2 linked regions of the Macaca fascicularis genome follow. The protein of the gene in region 2 interacts with the protein of the main gene of each other region in a pairwise test. Links are inferred from orthologs where the notes say so. Each region holds a gene or a part of one and is shown on either strand. Other genes may lie near its edges.

Evidence for each region. The genes of interacting proteins can lie anywhere in the genome.
Region 1: the proteins of FBLIM1 (region 2) and CUTA interact in binary tests that used the Homo sapiens proteins (3 or more experiments, as listed by UniProt). The two-hybrid records come from large-scale screens. The link is inferred for Macaca fascicularis from reciprocal best matches to the Homo sapiens genes FBLIM1 and CUTA.

Annotation. Positions count from the first base shown.
Region 1 is NC_088378.1:138,270,921-138,280,460, forward strand, and holds CUTA (protein CutA), read left to right. Parts: upstream 1-4,733; 5' UTR 4,734-4,761; exon of another isoform or gene 4,762-4,834; 5' UTR 4,835-4,844; coding exon 4,845-4,886; exon of another isoform or gene 4,887-4,974; intron 4,975-5,152; coding exon 5,153-5,367; intron 5,368-5,537; coding exon 5,538-5,597; intron 5,598-5,705; coding exon 5,706-5,751; intron 5,752-5,878; coding exon 5,879-5,928; intron 5,929-6,067; coding exon 6,068-6,194; 3' UTR 6,195-6,286; downstream 6,287-9,540. Other genes in the region: SYNGAP1 (ras/Rap GTPase-activating protein SynGAP), read right to left, coding at 2,511-2,577; PHF1 (PHD finger protein 1), read right to left, coding at 6,735-7,023, 7,163-7,243, 7,505-7,599, 7,690-7,879, 8,005-8,109, 8,625-8,692, 8,803-8,926, 9,061-9,129 and 1 more. UniProt on the Homo sapiens protein: May form part of a complex of membrane proteins attached to acetylcholinesterase (AChE).
Region 2 is NC_088375.1:219,337,032-219,346,829, reverse strand, and holds part of FBLIM1 (filamin-binding LIM protein 1), read left to right. Parts: intron 1-2,986; coding exon 2,987-3,165; intron 3,166-4,794; coding exon 4,795-4,912; intron 4,913-9,798. UniProt on the Homo sapiens protein: Serves as an anchoring site for cell-ECM adhesion proteins and filamin-containing actin filaments. Is implicated in cell shape modulation (spreading) and motility.

The DNA of each region.
Region 1 (9,540 bases), on a different chromosome or scaffold from region 2:
CCCTAGTTCAACCCTGTTCATCCTTTAGGGAAAGTTCTGGTTCTTCTGGTGTTAAGGAGAAGATGGCTTTTGTCGGCATCTGGCTGTGGAGGGGCCAGGGCAGAATGTGAGAAAGATGCCCTTGTTTGGACGAGTAGAGACCAAATTTATCTCTTCCCCCATTCAGTGCCCAGAGATTCAACACTGCCCCCACCACCTCCCCCCACCTAGTCTCAATGGACAGGATGGAAGCCACTCCATAGGTTAGGAGCCTTCCCAAGGCACAGTGAAGAGCCTGAGGAAGAAAGAGGTCAGGGGGAAAGACTGGAATATCCAGGCCTGGTGACATAGAGGGGCCTCCAAAGACGAGAGCTGGAGATGGGAACAAAACTTTCAGAAGAGAGAATAGTAGACCAAGTGTCACCCATGGCTGAGATGATCCCAGGGTCCTCCTTCCCCAATTCTGTTGTTCTTGCCATACCGCTTTTCCTGCAAACTGCCTCTCCTTTAAACCCCAATGCCACACAGGCCCTATTGAAGTAAGAGAGATGTCACATTGGTGACAGCAAAGAGAAATCAGCTTAAGGTATCAGATTTTAGATGGAAAAAAAGATCAAACTCTGTCACTTTTATGGGATAACCATGAGTATACTGCAGGAGAACTGGTCTTTGAGCTTCATTCCAACAGAATGCACTGAGTAGCAGAGTTTTGCAAATTCAGCCCTTTTCTGTCTATAAATATATCTCTCAAATTTACCCAGCCTCCAGATCACAGTGAGCGATGAATGTCCACCTCAGAATGTCCACCATCTAGAAACCACAATACTTTGAAACTCTATCTCAACCCATTTCCAGAGACTAACTAATGTTCTCTAGACACAAAGATCACCAATACCTAGCCTCTGAAACTACAGACATTGCTGGCAACATGCCCACCGCACTTAGACATTTGGTATACTCAAGAGAAATCTGTTGATACACATAAGCATCTTGGGAAAGGGCTGGTTCAGGCTGCAGCCAAGGGAGGCAGGTTAGACTTCAGAGGGCATCTTTCTCCTGGCAGCAGGGAACTCAGGAACAACTCTAGAAACACACACACACACACACACACACTGTCTGGACTTGGTGAAGAATGATTCTGGGAGGCAGATGCAAGAGGCAGAGGAACATGACTGAGAAAGGGAAAATTTTTACTAGCATGAGAAATCTCTTAAGGGCTGAGATGGGGATCCCTTGTTCTAATCATCAAAACCTGTGTCTTTGTAACCCAAATCTCCAACACCCCAATAAGTAGAGGAGACAAGAAAAGAGAAATGATAATAAGAGTTGAGGTATTAAGGGAAAGTGGGTAGGCACAGACTTGTGGTGACAAGGAATGGTCTGGGGGACAAATAATAGGAGTAGATATAAAAGAAAAGGAGGCAGAAATGATAGTAAATGCCTAGGGGCAAGGGAATACACCTGAAGGGCTCGACTGGACGTGTCAGAGCAAAGGAGGCAGACCTAATGCGGGGGCTATGACAAGGGGTCAAGACAGACTAGTAGAGAAGCGATAGAGATATAAGGGAGCGACCACATAGAAAAGAGATAGAGAGAGGCAATGGACACCAGAGAGGGGACTGATATAGGGGAAGGACAGAAGGGGGACTCATATAAGGAACGGACACCATATGGGGGGAAAGATATAGGTGATGGACAGCAGAGGAGGGAGGGGGAATGGAAATAAGGATTGGAGGGGTGGGGGAAGGGGGTAAAAGTGATGAAGTGAAGACAGCATTAAGACCCCAGAGGTTACATTTCACTGGTCAAGAGCCTTTAAGAGGGTCAGAGGCTGGGGCAGGATCCTAACCTGTCCCCTACTCCCATCACTTAATTTTACTTATATTGCCACCCCACCAAGCACACATAATTTGGCCCTCCCCCTGCCCTGGTCTCCCCTCCCCCACCATTCCATCTCTCCTCTCTTCCCTCCATCTGGACCCTCCATCCCCCCACCCCCCACTGCCTCCCTCTCTCTCCATCTGGCCCCTTCTCTCCCTCCATCCTCCTCTCTTTTTCCACCCCTTACCATACTCTGAGTCCCCCACCAAATTCTCCCCCCACATCTTCTTGGCTTCTCTTTTCACCCCTATGTTTTCATTTCTCCCTCCTAGCCCCTCTTCCAAGACTCTGTCCCTCTATTTCCTTGATGTTTTCCTCATCACTCAGCTCCCACCCCCAAATTATTTCTGCAGCTTTTTCCCCAACCCAATCCTTCTACCTTCCCACCCCTTTCTGGCGCTTTCTTCCCCCTTCATCATTTTCCCTTCAGCCCCCTTTCAAGGCCCATTTCCTGGCCCCTCCGTCCCTTATCTACCCCTCTCCCTCTGGCCTCCAATCCCTCCTTCCCGGTTGCTCCCACCCCTGCCTTCCCGGTCCTCCCCTCTCTCTCCATTTCAGCCGCTCCCCTCCCTTGGCCCCGACTCTCCCCCGCCCCCTGCCCCTCCCCCTGTTGCCCCCCATATGGCCCTCCCCCTCCCCCCACCACGTACCTCTGAAGGGGGCATAGGACATCGCGGGGATGCTCCCCCGATGGATGGAGGCTCGAGACCTGCTCATCAGGCCTGGGGGGAGGGGGCGGGGGGACGGGGGAGAAAGAAGAGAGAAAGAGGGGGAGAAAGAGGGGGAGAAGGAGGAGGAGGTGGAGGAGGAGGAGGAGGAGAGAGGAGGAGAGAGGAGCAGAGAGAAGCAGAGAGGAGGAGAGAGGAGGAGGAGGAGGAGAATAAGAGCCAACGGCAGCAGCGGCAGCCGAGAGAGAGGGGGGGCGGGGGAGCGAGCGAGAGCTAAGAGAGCAGGAGGAGGAGGAGGAGGGAGAGACTCTGCAGCCCCCACCCCTACTCGGGGAGGCCCAGATTGTGAGAGAGAGAGACCCCTGACTCAAAAACACACCAGAGAAAGACAGAGGTGCTAAAGATGCAGACCCCAGACCCTGAGAGAGAGACCCTAGACCCACAGAGAAAGATACTTCACCACCCCCCACCGTGGGTTAATTTGAGACACAGGCCCAAAATCTAGAGGAAAAGAGACTCCTGATTTGAGGAAAAAACGACCCCAGATCCCCCAGAGAGAGGAACCCAAGATCAAAATCTGAGAATCCAGGCTCAAAAAGGTTCTCCATACCCACAGACATCTTAGACTCCAGACCCTGAGATGATGATTTCAGGGACCAGGACCTGAGACCTAGACTCAGAAAAAGATGAGGCCCAGATTCAGAAAGAGCCAGATGTAGAATTAGAGCTTAGAGAACTCAGACCTAGAGAGAGACCCCAGACTCAGATCTCAGAGACTGATAACTCAGAGACAGAGACACTCCAGATTTAAGGGGAGATAGAGAGAGACCTCAGCTGGTCCAGAGATGGACAACTCAGAGACCCAAAATTCATGAAGAAGACTTCGAAAGACCTCAGAGTGCGACCACAGACCCTGAAACATAGAAACCCCCCAGACCAAAAACATAAAAGGAAACTCAGTCCTAAGAAAGATCTCCACACAAATACTGAAAGACCCCTCCGAAATCTGTCTCAGAGACAAACTCCAAACTCAAAGACAGAGATCTCAGGGAACCTCCCCTCCCCACTTCCCTGCCCTAGAACCTCCGAGAGGTAGAACACTGACGTCAGCCTGGGAAACTCCGAGGCATCCCCACCACCAGACCAATGACCTCAGACCTTGAAGGGAGGGGAAATATTGGGTGGGGGCAGTGGCAAGAGCTTTTTTCTCTGCGCCTCCTCCCACCTCTCTGCCTCTCACTGGCCCCTCTCTCCATTTTTGGGTCACAGGATGTGCTTGGGCCCCAGGGAAGTTATGTAGGGCAGGTCCTGGCTCCTCAGGGGATGGGTTAGGGAAAGGAGACCCAAGGCTGAGAGGTGGACCAATCCTGGGGAGTGGAATAGGCAGGGAAGAGGGGACAGAAGGACCATCACCACTGTCCCCATCCTGCAGCCCTCGTTCTCCTTCCCTCTGATTCAGTAGTCTGTCTCAAGCTTTGGGTTTTCAATTAAGATGGCTAGGCCCCATTTTCACCATCCTCTACCCCATTTACAGGATCTCGCTCTGTTTTAAAATGCATCTTTCCTCACCTAGCTATTGTCGTGCCATGCCCATGCCTGCCTAATCACTCCCCGCTACGCAGGGACAGCGGGCTTCTAGATCACCGTTGTTCATTCCCAAACCCAGGCATATCTCTGTCCCAACTAAAATGGCAGGGGGCGCTCTCTTAACCCCTGAGGTTGGGGTGAAGGGTCTTTCTCAGACCCTGCCACACCTTAAGGCCTCGGAAACAGTGCAGGGGAGGTTAGGCACATTGTGGGGTTTAAGAATGATTCCCCACACCACAGCCTGACGCATCGACTATGCGGGGTCTCCGGCCCCCCCCTTTCCTGGAGCCAGCACTCGCCTCACGTGGCCTGCAGGGCTGGCCTGTGATTGGCCACTTGGCGTCACTCACTGAGTGCCGCCGCCGGAGAGGACCGGCCCCCTCACGTGACAGTGGAACGCCGCAGCGGCTCTCCTCAGCCAGCAAGTGGTAGTTTCGGGTTCACACGGAAACGGGCGTGCCATTTCCGCGCACGTCTGCAGATCCAGCGGTCGATTGGTCAAGTCTCCCATCGCTCCGCCCTCATCAGGAGGCGGGCAAACCGCGCCACGAGAGGGCCAGGATTGGCTGGCTCTGGAAGCGCGGGTGGTCCCCCTTCTACTGTCACATGGTGCGCGCTGTTTTCTTATCACGTGGCTGCCACCCAGGTAAGAGGCCGCTCTTCCTGGGGTTGTTTCTCCGTGTGACGTGTGGCCTCTGAGATCAACTCTCCTCTACCAGCGTAGGCCGCATGAGTAGGGGGCGGGCTCCCGCGGTCCTGCTCGGCGGAGTGGTGAGTGACCGGCCCCGTCCCGCCCCTTCCGGTCCTCGAAGCCTCGACCGCTACCTGCACCCCAAATCCCAGAGGTTGGCCCCCTGAGGTGTGAGTGAAATGAGCCTTTGCTTTACTTTTCCAAGTTTCTCTCTCACCTTCAGGGGCATTCTTCTTCGGGGTACATCAGAGGGAGGGCAGAGCCTGAGTATCTAAGCAGAGGCTTCCCTGGGTGTAATTTCCTGGGCTGTTGGTGAGGAGAGATCGAATTCGCCTCCTGCTCTCAGGCTTCTCTGCTCCTGTCTTTTGTTTGGATGCCGGCGCTGCTGCCTGTGGCCTCCCGCCTTTTGTTGCTACCCCGAGCCCTGCTGACCATGGCCTCTGGAAGCCCTCCGACCCAGCCCTCGCCAGCCTCGGATTCCGGCTCCGGCTACGTTCCGGGCTCGGTGTCTGCAGCCTTTGTCACTTGCCCCAACGAGAAGGTCGCCAAGGAGATCGCCAGGTAGGGACCTCGATGTTCAGCGAGAAAGGATGATCATGAAGGGAGAGTTGGGGGTGGGGCAGAAGAGTGCCGCTTTCTCCTCTCTTCAGCTCTGCAAGCCTGTCTCTGGGCTGCCAGTACAAAAACTGGGGTCATGGGGCACTCTGAATGGGACTGTCTCTTCACTCCAGGGCTGTGGTGGAGAAGCGCCTAGCAGCCTGCGTCAACCTCATCCCTCAGATTACATCCATGTGAGTCATAGGAGTTGGGGGGTTAACCTAACTGTAGGAGCTGACTGGGAACCTCTTTCCTGGGGGAAATTCTTTGCTCCTCACAACTCTCCCCCTCTGACCTTTCAGCTATGAGTGGAAAGGGAAGATCGAGGAAGACAGTGAGGTGCTGATGGTGAGAAACATTTCCCCCACCCAACAAAATTTCCCCAATCCCTGACCCCTTTAGCCCTTACCCCTCTTCTGAGAAACTGAACTCAGTCCCACTCCTTGATTCAACCATGTTTATCTTTGTCCCTTAGATGATTAAAACCCAAAGTTCCTTGGTCCCGGCTTTGACAGATTTTGTTCGGTGAGAACTTTGAGATGTATGGGGTGACGGTGTGTACTGTGGGGGTGTACTGTGGGGATGGGACTTGCTTGCGCGAGGGAGTGGCTTCCTTTAGGTCAATCTTTGAGTAATCCCCTTCCCCCACCCACCTATCTTGTAGTTCTGTGCACCCTTACGAAGTGGCTGAGGTAATTGCATTGCCTGTGGAACAGGGGAACTTTCCATACCTGCAGTGGGTGCACCAGGTCACAGAGTCAGTTTCTGACTCCAGCACAGTCCTGCCATGATGAGCCCTGTTCCTGCCGTGATCCCCTTGATACTCAATGCCTTCTGACTTCCAGGTGATGACCGGGCCCCCAATAAATCCTGTCTTTAGGTCTTTCTGCCTTTTGCCTGTTTTTTCCTTGTCATGTATGCAAATTTGTTGGGAGAATAAGTGCTTCTAGTCCCTGTATTCTCTACATCTTTCAGAATGACTCCGAGCTGCTAGATTTATTTCTCTTTATTTCAATCATACAGAGTCCGGGATCCCTTATCATCCTCCCTCCTCAGTCTCTGCCCCCAGGGGTTAAATAATTTTAAAAAATATTTAAAAAGCTGTAACAAAATAACATCAAAGGAAATGGGAAGGATGGAGGGGTCAGGAATCATGAAGGAAGGTAGAGAAGAGAGCCTCTTCCCTACCCCCCACTCTTGGATTCCAGCCTGGGCAGTAGGGAGAACTATCCCCTATCTCTCCAGGTACATCCCAGCTGTAGGTGAGGTCAGAGGTCAGGGTATGAAAGTGCCGGTGTGTGTGAATGGGGAGGTGGGCAGAGGCAAGCTGTTCAGAAGATGCCCCCTCCTCCCCACTCAACCAGGTACTGCACAGAGCCATCAGGCCGTACTCTCCGAGCAAGGACCCGGACAGGGTCCCCTCGGGACAGGTAGCCAACCCCACCTCGGACTCCTCCCCCAGTCCCAGGAGACAAACTACGGCACAGGGGAGAAGGGGGTGCTGAGCGTCTAGGAAGACCTGGGGATGGGGATGAGACTGAGGAAGATGAGGCAGTCATCGAGTGGGGGGCATTTTTAGGGATGTCTGTGGGGAAACCAATGTGAAGTTCCAGGGGTGACCTAGGGAGAGAAGGCAATTGTAAGAAATGGGCAGAAATGGAGAGCACATGTGAATCAGAGAAACAGTGTTAGAGACTAAGAGCCTTGAGCACATAGAGGGGAAGAGGAGCATTGCTGGTAATAGAAGATAGAATCTCACCTGTCTGGGGGTTCACCGTCCCCAGAGGTCCCTGCGGTGCTGGCAGAAGGGTGGAAGGAAGCAAACATCCGGATGGGGCTGCTGGGGTTGGAGTGGGGCAAGTCAGGACCTGAAGCAGGGGAACAGGACCTTCTCCCCCGGGGAAGTGCAGAGCTCAAACACTACCCACAAGGGACTCCCTTCCCCAGAATACTGGCTACCAGACACTAGGTTCTAGAAGTTGGTCTAGGCCAAGAAGTGGGTAGCCAAGGGGGAGAGGGAAAATAATTCTGGGTGAGAAAGTCCAGAAGATGTGAATAAATGGGAGCATATTTTGTGGGGGAGAGGCAGAGGAGCACTGACCTGGGCAGGCAGCGGGCATCTGTGGGCCGGAAGTTGTAGCCGCTGCTGCCCTGGTAAGTCTGGTTAGGGCTGGGGGATGGTGGAGACACTGAGGCCTAGAAGAGGGGGCAAAGGACTGAGAGGTAATCCTTGACTCCTTCCCACACCCCACCATTTACTCCATAGGGTTCCCCCTGCCCCGGTACCTGCAGTGCCCTCTGCAGATGAGCCCGCTCCCTCTGCTCCCGGGGCTCGGGCTGATTGCGCACTGCTGAGGGTGGCCCCAGCTCCTCCACTTTCCCCTTCTGCCTCCTCCTCAGGGGCTCTGGCTCCGGCCTCCGGCGCTTCCCCAGGGGACGTGAGACCCCTCCCCCAGGGCCCTGCCCTGAAGGGAAGCTGTAAGAGGCCTCCTTATCCCCCCAGCCCCCTCCCGGACACCCCAAAGACCTCCCCATCTCTATACATATACCCGCCAGCACTAACACCCTGAGAATTTCCCCCATCCCCCCTGGACCAGTGACCTGGTGAGTGCTCCATCTCCAGTAGGGGGCTCCACAGGGGGGGGCATCCGAGCATGGAGACCAAACAAACATTTCCTCTTCTTAATCTCTCTCCCTGAAATGAAACTGGAGCAAGAAGAAAAATGATATAGGGTCAGTGCTGTTAAAAAAAAAAAAAAAAGGTTCCTTCTTACACCATTCCTCAATCCTTTTCAGTCATAGTCTTCCAGGTGGGTTGCAAGCCCCTCCCCTTCCAGGCTTCCAATCTACATCTCTTTCTTTTTTTTTTTTTTATTTTTTATTTTTTTTGAGACGGAGTCTCGCTCTGTCACCCAGGCTGGAGTGCAGTGGCCGGATCTCAGCTCACTGCAAGCTCTGCCTCCCGGGTTCACGCCATTCTCCTGCCTCAGCCTCCCGAGTAGCTGGGACTACAGGCGCCCGCCACCTCGCCCGGCTAAGTTTTTTGTATTTTTAGTAGAGACGGGGTTTCACTGTGTTAGCCAGGATGGTCTCGATCTCCTGACCTCGTGATCCGCCCGTCTCGGCCTCCCAAAGTGCTGGGATTACAGGCTTGAGCCACCGCGCCCGGCCTTACATCTCTTTCTGAGTCTCATCCTAGACTCCTCCTCCCTCCAACTCACCGGTCCTTGTGGCTGTTGAGAGCAGAGAGGAGCTTGGAAGAACGTTCTCCTTTGGGGGTGTCTGAAAGCTGGGAGGAATGAAGAAAAATGGGGCCAGGGGAACAGTGATTTCTTCTCTTCCCCTTTCCACTACATCTCCCTGTCCCATCCCAACCCCCAAAACTGCACTACCCCTTACCTCCCCCAGAAGCAAACTGTCCCAATTCTCAGAAGTGAAGGGGAGGATCTCACGATCAAAATCAAAGTATTTCTTCTTACAGCAAACGCTGAGGTGATACAGGACAAGATGGGCCACATCCACCCTGGAAAAACAAAATTTCCAAGACCACAGAGGCATTTTAAGAGCCAGGGGAGTCCTGAGGTGCGAGGCTGGGGCATACAGAGTAAAATACTAGGGGTGTGGAGTTACACTGAGGTCATGCCCAAGCCAGCTCACCAGCGAAGCTGTAGTCTCCGGACTTTCTCAGGGCCTCCACGACACACACAGCATTCAAATTCATAGAACCTGGACGTGGGCAAGAGGGAGAACACACACTTACGCAGGAAAACTATGCCATCCCCTGGAGGACTCACAAGCAAGGATGGGGCAAACAGGTGAGGTAATGCTGCAGATATTGGGAAGAGACTGGAGTGGAGACAGGCATGGGAACTGAGGGTGGAGCACGAAGAGAACACCTTGGCTTCTGGAGAGTCTGCCTTGGTCTCACCTGTCCCCATAGAGGAGGGGCTTGCTCAGACACTGGGTGCAGGCCTCATGGAACCACTGCAGGCAGCTCCGGCACTGCAGCATTTTCAGGTTCCACCTGAGGGGGAACATAGGACTTCTGGCCTCCAGAAACCCCCTTCCCCATAACTGCCCCAAACCCTAAACTTACCTCCCATCCCCCTGAGTGCTACCCTCATCCTGTTCTTTTTC
Region 2 (9,798 bases):
ACTGCACTCCAGCCTGGGGGACAGAGTGAGACTCCATCTCAAAAAAAAAAAAGATCCTTAACTTATCCCATCTGAAAGCCTCTTTTTCCGGGCAAGGTAACGTTCACGGGGTCCAGAGATAAGGACCTGAATATCTTTGGGGGCATCTCTTAGCTACCACACGAGGTCACATAAGATGGCCAAGCAGCTGGGATTCTACTCCACACCCATGTGGCTCTGGAGGCTGCCATCAGTCTTGCCACCATCTCCCCTAGAGCCACAAGGTTCCAATGTTTGATCTCACGGAATCTGTGTTGCTTCCGGGTACCAAGTGCCATCTGGGAGAGCCAGTTGGGATGCCAGCATACTGGAATTTCTAACTCTTGGATGGTTTGTGGTGGCATGTCAAGGGTGGCGACCACCCACAGCCACATCCCCTGGGTATGTGTGTAGGCCACACCTGGAAATCAGCATTTTGAGCAAGTGTCTCAGGTGATTCTCATGCATATAGAAGTTTGAAAACGGCTGATTTGAGGGGTTAGAGTATTTGGAGCTGAGACTGTCCGGAAGAATCCAAACAATCCAATCCCAGGCTCACCACCAGTGAGGCACTGTGGGAGGAGAGAGGAGCCAGGCCCTCCCTGCCGTGTCCCTGTGACCCCATCAATATGATGGGGGAGTGTCCCTCAGGGGTGAGACACTGGGGGAGGAGGGGTGAGGAGGGGTGTCTAGCTGAAAGCAGCCAAGAGGAAGACTTGATCAGTGTGCTGGGGAGAGAAGGGCCGTGCCCATGAGAGGGAGGGTGGGAGTGGGAGATGCCCCTACATCTGTCCAGGTGGCGTCAAGGTAAAATGCACAGGAGCACAGCCAGGAAGGAGAGACAGCATGTCCAGGAGAAAAGGTGGAAAGGCTAGAGGGAGGCCCGCTGCCCTGCCTCAGGTATCTCTTTATCATTGCTCCTTATTCCAGGAGGAATTTGAGGCAGCTTCTATGAATGCATATATACCAGCCAGGCGCGGTGGCTCACACCTGCAATCTCAGCACTTCAGGAGGCTGAGGTGGGAGGATTACTTGAGGTCAGGAGTTCGAGACCAGCCTGGACAACATGGCAAGACTCCACCTCTATTTTAAAATAGTTATTTTTTATTAAAACGTGTTTTTAAAGAGAATGCATGTATACCTATAGACCGCAATGATATAGGTGCACTGAAAAATTCCACGTGATTCTCCCGCCTCAGCTTCCCAAGTAGCTGGGATTACAGGTGCCTACCACCATGCCCAGCTGGTTTTTTTGTTTGTTGGTTGGTTGGTTTTTTTTGTTTTTTTGTTTTTTGTATTTTTAGTAGAGACAGGGGTTTTCACCATGTTGGATTGGCCAGGCTTGTCTGGAACTCCTGACCTCAGGAGATCCACCTGCCTTGGCCTCCCAAAGTCCAGGGATTACAGGCATAAGCCACCTTGCCTGGCACATTTCTTCTTAAAGGCGTCATATAAAATTATATTAACTGGCTGGGTGCCGTGGCTCATGCCAGGCCGAGGCAGGCAGATCACCTGAGGTTAGGAGTTCGAGACCAGCCTGACCAAAATGGAAAAACCCTGTCTCTACTAAAAATACAAAAACTAGCCAGGCACAGTGGTGCATGCCTGTAATCCCAGCTACTCCGGAGGCTGAGGCAGGAGAATTGCTTGAACCCAGGAGGCGGAGGCTGCAGTGAGTCAAGATCGCACCACTGCATTCCAGTCTGGGCGACAGAGCAAGACTCCATCTCAAAAAAAAGAAAAAGCCTGGGCACAGTGGCTCATGCCTGTAATCCCAGCACTTTGGGAGGCCGAGGCAGGCGGATCACCTGAGGTCAGGAGTTCAAGAGCAGCCTGGCCAACATGGAGAAACCCCGTCTCTACTAAAAATACAAAAAATTAGCCTGGGTGTTGGTACATGTCTGTAATCCCAGCTACTTGGGAGGCTGAGGCAGGAGATTTGCTTTAACCCAGGAGGCGAGGTTGTGGTGAGCCAAGATTGCACCATTGCACTTCAACCTGGGTGACAAGAGCGAAACTCCGCCTCAGGAAAAAAAAAAAAGGTAGATCTCATGTTAAGTGTTCTTCCAACAATAAAACAATTTGTAAAAGACTGCAATAATACTATGATATGTAAAATAAAGACATCCAAACAGAAGGAAAATCAAAATAGAAAGTGAGACGAGATCAAAGGGAATGTTACGACCCACCGTGTGTGAGGATGCCAGACAGGGAGGCTCACGCCTATAATCCCAGCACTTTGGGAGGCTAAGGCAGGTCGATCACTTGAGGTCAGGAGTTCGAAACCAGCCTGGCCAACATAGTGGAACACCATGTCTACAAAAAATACAAAAAATTAGCCAGGCGTGGTAACATGCACCTGTAGTTCCAGCTACTCAGGAGGCTGAGGCATGAGAATCACTTGAACCTCATGTAGAGGATGCAGTGAGCTGAGATTGGGGCACTGCACTCCAGCCTCAGTAACAGAGTGAGACTTTGTCCCAAAACAAAACAAAAACCAAATAACAACAAAAAAGCCCTATAATGGTTTCGAAATATGAAATGTGGAATTTGGCTCTGAGCTTCCAAGTGGCCAAATGGAAAAGGGAAAGAATTTCAAGGCTTCTTGTCTATATGATAAAAGCACCCAATTCTCCTGAGAATTCCTTTTCCTGACCCTGAGGTTTAAGCGAAGTTTCTCCTATGAGCTCTTTGAACCCTGACCTTAAACATATCCCAGTAACAAGAAATGTAGTCATAGCATCAGGGCATCAGGGCAGTATTCCTTACAGTAAGCCAAGGATGCAAGGCTAAGCTCAATTTGTTATAAGCAATGGTGGAGGTTTTGGGCGATAGTTACAGGTTGTCTGCAGGCCTCTCCTGTACTTCCCAATTCCTGGGCCCCCGAGGGCAGGCTCCCAGAAGAAGAGACCCTTGTGGGTTGGAGTGGGTGTGCCGTGGATGACTCTGGCAGTGGCCTCTGTCCCAGGACACGTTGGAGAAGTGCGGCAAGTGTGGCGAAGTGGTCCAGGACCACATCATCAGGGCCCTGGGCCAGGCCTTCCACCCCTCCTGCTTCACGTGTGTGACCTGCGCCCGGTGCATTGGGGATGAGAGCTTTGCCCTGGGCAGCCAGAACGAGGTGTACTGCCTGGATGACTTCTACAGGTACGAGAGGGGTTTGGCACCAGGTGGGGTGCAGGGACAGGGCGAGATCCAAGCAGGATGAAGGAGCCGAGCCTGAGTCCTGGGTGCTGGGCCAGAGTTTCCTGTCTACTGGTTTATTATAAAGAATATTACAGGCCGGGCGCGGTGGCTCAAGCCTGTAATCCCAGCACTTTGGGAGGCCGAGACGGGTGGATCACGAGGTCAGGAGATCGAGACCATCCTGGCTAACACGGTGAAACCCCGTCTCTACTAAAAAATACAAAAAAAAACTAGCCGGGCGAGGTGGCGGGCGCCTGTAGTCCCAGCTACTCAGGAGGCTGAGGCAGGAGAATGGCGTGAACCCGGGAGGCGGAGCTTGCAGTGAGCTGAGATCCGGCCACTACACTCCAGCCTGGGAGACAGAGCGAGACTCCGTCTCAAAAAAAAAAAAAAAAAAAGAATATTACAGGGCTGGACCGGGCACAGTGGCTCATGCCCATAATCCCAGCATTTTGGGAGACTGAGGAGGGTGGATCACGAGTTCAGGAGATTGAGACCATCCTAGCTAACACGGTGAAACCCCATCTCTACTAACAATACAAAAAAAATTAGCCAGGCCTGGTGGCGGGCGCCTGTAGTCCCAGCTACTCAGGAGGCCGAGGCAGGAGAATGGCGTGAACCCGGAAGGTGGAGCTTACAGTGAGCTGAGATCGTGCCACTGCACTCCAGCCTGGGCGACAGAGCTAGACTCCATCTCAAGCAAAACAAAGCAAAAAACTAAAAAATATATATAATGTCACAGGCAGGTACTATTAAGGGTTCTGTTTTACCAACCAAGGCACACAGCAGCTAAGTACCCAAAGTCTCTCCACAGGTAAGTATTGAAACTCTTGGTAAGTATGCACATCCCCAAGGACCTGACTTTCGGGCCCTGCTCTGAAACCCCAGACCTCTGGGTCTGCCCTTGGAGCTGAATGACGCAGTGGGGACACATCTGTTGGACTCAATCCCTGCCCATGAGTTGCTCACCACTCAAGGGGAGAGACAGATGTGCCTCTTAAGAAAGAAGTACTGGCTGGGCACAGCGGCTCACACCTGTAATCCCAGCACTTTGGGAGGCCAAGGTGGGCGGATCACGAGGTCAGGAGTTCAAGACCAGCCTGACCAACATGGTGAAACCCTGTGGTCGCTACTCAAAATGCAAAAATTAGCTGGGCATAGTAGCGCCTGCCTGTAGTCCCAGCTGCTCAGGAGGCTGAGGCAGGAGAATCGCTTGAACCTGGGAGGCGGAGGTTGCAGTGAGCGGAGATTGTGCCATTGCACTCCAGCCTGGGTGACAAGAGCCAAAAAACTCCGTCTCAAAAAAAAAAAAAAAGACAGATGAGATGGGTCCCAGCCCCACTGAACACAGTTCTCAATTCAGGCAATCTCCAGTGATGCTGGGAAACCAGGTCTCATTACACAGGTCTCTCCACCTGCTCCTGCCAGGAAGAAATAGACATCTCTGCTTATAGCTGCTAATGCAGTCCCATAGCAACGGGACTGAAATTGCTCAGGAGGTGAACACCAGCCAGCCCGAGTTCTGACAGCTAATTAATTTATGTGGTTGTGGCATGAACGCCTCCCAAGCATGGGTTTCTTTGCTTCTAGGAAATTCGCCCCCGTCTGCAGCATCTGTGAAAATCCCATCATTCCTCGGGATGGGAAAGATGCCTTCAAAATCGAGTGCATGGGAAGAAACTTCCATGAAAATTGCTATAGGTGTGAGGTGAGTAGAGCCCAGGTGGTTTAATAATATTCCATCGCTGCATTGCCAGGCCCTTGGCTGGGTTGCTTGGACATGGGGACAGGTCAGGGTGGGGGCTGTACTCTCAAATTGCTCACTGTCCAGTAGGAGAAACAAAAGATGCTGGAAATACAACTATAGTCTATTATCAACTCTTCGCGTTAATGATAAGAAACCAAACTCGGGGCTGGGCGCGGTGGCTCACGCCTGTAATCCCAGCACTTTGGGAGGCCGAGGCGGGTGGATCACGAGGTCAGGAGATCGAGACCATCCTGGGTAACACGGTGAAACCCCGTCTCTACCAAAAATACAAAAAAAAATCAGCCGGGCGCGGTGGCGGGCGCCTGTAGTCCCAGCTACTCGGGAGGCTGAGGCAGGAGAATGGCATGAACCTGGGAGGCGGAGCTTGCAGTGAGCCGAGATCGCGCCACTGCACTCCAGCCTGGGTGACAGAGCAAGACTCTGTCTCAAAAAAAAAAAAAAAAAAAAAAAAGAAACCAAACTCAAGTTGCTTTCTACAAAAAAGAGAATCTGTTGGCTAATGGTGGTGGAAACACTGATGGTATTGAGTGATGGCATCAGGACTCTCTCCATCTTTCTTTCTCTCTTTCTTTCTTTCTTTCTTTCTTTCTTTCTTTCTTTCTTTCTTTCTTTCTTTCTCTCTCTCTCTCTCTCTCTCTCTCTCTCTCTCTTTCTTTCTTTCTTTCTTTCTTTCTTTCTTTCATTTTTTTTTTTTTTGGAGGTAGTCTTACTTTTGTTGCCAGGCTGGAGTGAAGTGGTATGATCTCAGCTCACTGCAACCTCCGCCTTTTGGGTTCAGCAATTCTCCTGCCTCAGCCTCCCAAGTAGCTAGAATTACAGGCATGCACCACCGCACCTGGCTAGTTTCTGTATTTTTAGTAGAGATGGGGTTTCACCATGTTGGCCAGGTGGGTCTCAGGTGATCCGTCCACTCCACCTCCCAATGTGCTGGGATTACAGGCATGAGCCAACGCTCCCGGCCTCTTTTCCATCTCTTGTCTCTGCCTTTTTTATGTGTTTGCTTCATTTTTGCTGCCTGTGGGCTGGCCTTCTCTGTGGGGAGGTGGGGCACAGTGCATGGGCAGAGGTGGCCCAGGTTTACATCTCCCCGGCTTAGAAACCCTAGGGGAAAGACAGAGCACACCACATCCAGGGAAGCCAGACTGTCTCTAGAAGGCCTCTAATCACCCCAGCTAGGGTCACATGCCCATTCAGGGCCAGTCACTGTGGCTGGGTGCTAGGATTGATAACCCCTGGGGCCAGGGAGGCAGAACCACATAAAAAAAGAGGGGTTGCTATAACCGGAGGAAGGGAGAAGAGGATGCTGGACAGATCTACACCACGTACCTTTTCCGGGTGCCAGGCAAGAGAATGTAGAAATCAGCTTTCTTCCAGAGTGCTGGGATTACAGGCATGAGCCACTGCTCCCGGCCAGAAGTGGAAGTCTGTAGATGTGACTGGAGTGTAGAGGGCTGGGGTTATGGTTAATGTTTAGGCCAGAGTGAAGGAAAGGGCTGCAGTGCCAGACTAGAGAGTCTGGACTTTAGGCTGCAGAGAGGGGTCAGGCTGAGATGGGCGAGCTGATTAGAAACTGGTGCAGTTGTCCCAGGAAGAAGGGCCCAGGTGTCGTCACACGTGACTTGGCAATCAGACGGGTCCTATGCTAGCTTTAAAGTTCTGCTATTGCTCTCTTTAAAGTCTTGATTTTTTTTGTTTGTTTTTATTTTTATTTTTATTTATTTATTTTTGAGATGGAGTCTCGCTCTGTCACCCAGGCTGGAGTGCAGTGGCGCGATCTCGGCTCACTGCAAGCTCCGCCTCCCGGGTTCACGCCATTCCCCTGCCTCAGCCTCCCGAGTAGCTGGGACTACAGGCACCTGCCACCACACCCGGCTAATTTTTTTGGTATTTTTTAGTACAGATGGGATTTCACTGTATTAGCCAGGATGGTCTCAATCTCATGACCCCGTGATCCGCCCGCCTGAGCCTCCCCAAGTGCTGGGATTACAGGCGTGAGCCACTGCGCCCGGCCTTTGTTTTTAATAGAGACAGAGACTGGAGTCAGGCTGGAGTGCAGTAGTGTAATCATAGCTCACTGTAGCCTTAAAATTTTGGGCTCAAGCAGTTCTCTCACCTTAGCATCCTGAGTAGCTGTAAGTACAGGTGCCCACCACCACACCCAGCTAATTTTTTTATTTTTTAAATTTTTATAGAGATGACTTCTCTACAAAAATTTGCCCAGGCTGGTCTTGAACTCCTGGGCTCAAGCGATTCTCTCACTTTGGCCTCCCAAAGTGCTGAGATCACATGCATGAGCCACTACCTACAGCCTGAAATTCTTAGTTTTTTTTTTTCTTTTCTTTTTTTTTTTTTAGAGACTGAGTCTCACTTTGTTCCCCAAGCTGGAGTACAGTGGCACTATCTCAGCTCACTGCAACCTCTGCCTCTCAGGTTCAAGCAACTCTCTTGCCTCAGCCTCCCGAGTAGCTGGAATGACAGGCTCGCACTACTGTGCCCGGGTAATTTTTGTATTTTTAGTAGAGACAGGGTTTCGCCATGTTGACCAGGCTGGTGTTAAACTCCTGATCTCAAGTGATCTGCCCACCTTGGCCTCCCAAAGTGCTGGGTGGCGTGAGCCACTACACCCAGCCAAAATTCTTAATTTCTGAACAAGGGGTCCCACATTTTAATTTTGTCCAAGATCCTACAAATTATGTAGTCAGTCCTGCTGAGGAGGCTCAGAAATCCTCTCCCACCCCTTCTACTGCCGGCTCCTTGTCACTGAAGCTTCTGTTTTCTCCGGTGATGGTGACAAAGTGGCAACTTTTATGGGGGGGACCTAAGTGGAGAGCCCCAGAGCAGATCTCTTACTCCATGAGTATTTCGAAACACTTGTTCACTCCCACTTATATAAACAGATACTGGGACCCAAAGACTATTTTCACTGAGGTTGTCAAAGGAGCTGGGTAGAGAAGTTGATAAATTGCTGCGTAATTACATTGTCTTTGTTGGTTATAGTTCAAAGTCCTGCTGATAGTGCATTTTGAAAGCCCAATGAGGAAGTTTAAATGCTGTTATCCCCACCATTGTCCTAATGAGTCCAGCAGTGACTGGCACTTTCCTGAGCCAGGAAGTCAGGAAGTGAATAAATCCCCACAGTGGTCTTGGTGATGTGGCCAAGGGTGGTGTAGTAAGTCAGCATTTGGACTCCAGAAGTTATGTGTCAGAAGATGAGGCTTCTTGACCAGGCACGGTGGCTCATGCTGGTAATCCCAGCACTTCGGGAGGCCCAGGCGGATGGATCACTTGCATTCAGGAGTTCAAGACCAGCCTGGCCAACATGGCGAAACCCAGTTTCTACTAAAAATACAAAAATTAGGCCAGGTGCAGTGGCTCACTCCTGTAATCCCAGCACTTTGGGAGGCTGAGGCAGGCGGATCACGAGGTCAAGAGATGGAGACCATCCTGGCCAACATGGTGAAATCCCATCTCTACTAAAAATACAAAAATTACCTGGGTGTGGTGGTGTGTGTCTGTAATCCCAGCTACTCGGGAAGGTGAGACAGGAGAATTGCTTGAATCCAGGAGGCAGAGGTTGCAGTGGGCCGAGATTGCACCACTGTGCTCCACACTGACGACAGAGTAAGACTCCGTCTCAAAAAAAAAATTAGCTGGGTATGCTGGCGCACGCCTGCAGTCCCAACTACTTGGGAGGCTGAGGCAGGAGAATCGCTTGAACCCAGGAGGCAGAGGTTGCAGTGAGCTGAGATTGTGCCACTGCACTCTAGCCATCTACCCTGGGCAATAGAGCAAGATTCCATCTCAAAAAAAAAAAAAAAAAAATGAGGCTCTTGAAACACAGCAGCCTGAAAGGAGTTGAGTGCTGTTACCTAAGAAGAAAGTGGGTTTCCATGCACTGCCCACACCCACATCTCACCATTTCTACTTGCTTTGGGGTCCATATTATTTATGACTATTGTTGGAAGGATAACAATGCTTTTATATGTAGGTAGTATTTTTAAATTTATAAAATGCTTTCATTGACATCACCTTGTTTAATCCTAGTGACAGTCTTGTGAGATGGAATTTATTGTCCCCATTAAGATGGGGAAACTGGTGGGGTGCGGTGGCTCACACCTATGATCCCAGCACTTTGGGAGGCTGAGGCAGGAGGATCACTTGAGCCCAGGAGTTCAAAGCCAGCCTGCACAGTAAGACCTCATCTTACAAAAAATTTGAAAACATTAGCCAGGCATGGTTGTACCCTTCTGTAGTTACAGCTACTTTGGAAGCTGAGGCAGGAGGATTGCTTGAGCCTGGCAGGTGGAGGCTGCAGTGAGCCATGATCATGCCACTGCACTCTAGCCTGGGTGACAGAGCGAGACCCTATCTTTAAAAAAAAAGGAAACAGGCAAACAGTCTCAGAAAACGGGTTCCAGCCGTGCTTGTGTGGGCTGGGTTCAGTGACGTTTCAGCCACTGCACAGCTGCCTTACAGAGGTTGTGAGACTTGGTGGTAGATGAAGTATTTTCTCCAGTTGGTTCTAATTTAGGAGGGGTCTCATGTGGCCCTCCAGCATGTGTTACAATGCCAAACAGGTGGTACAGATGCTGCAGTTGTGTAGCCCGTGGTCCACTTGAGAGACCCAAGTGGCCTTGCAGGGAGGAGACACATAGGAGCACCTCACCCAGCTGACCATGGAGGAAGGCAGATTGCAGACCCTGGTCCCTACTGCATCAGGAGGCCCACCTGTGACCCCAAAGTAGTCCCTATAGGGACTCTTTTTTTCTTTCTTTTGAGACGGACTCTCACCCTGTCTTCCAGGCTTGAGTACAATGTCATGATCT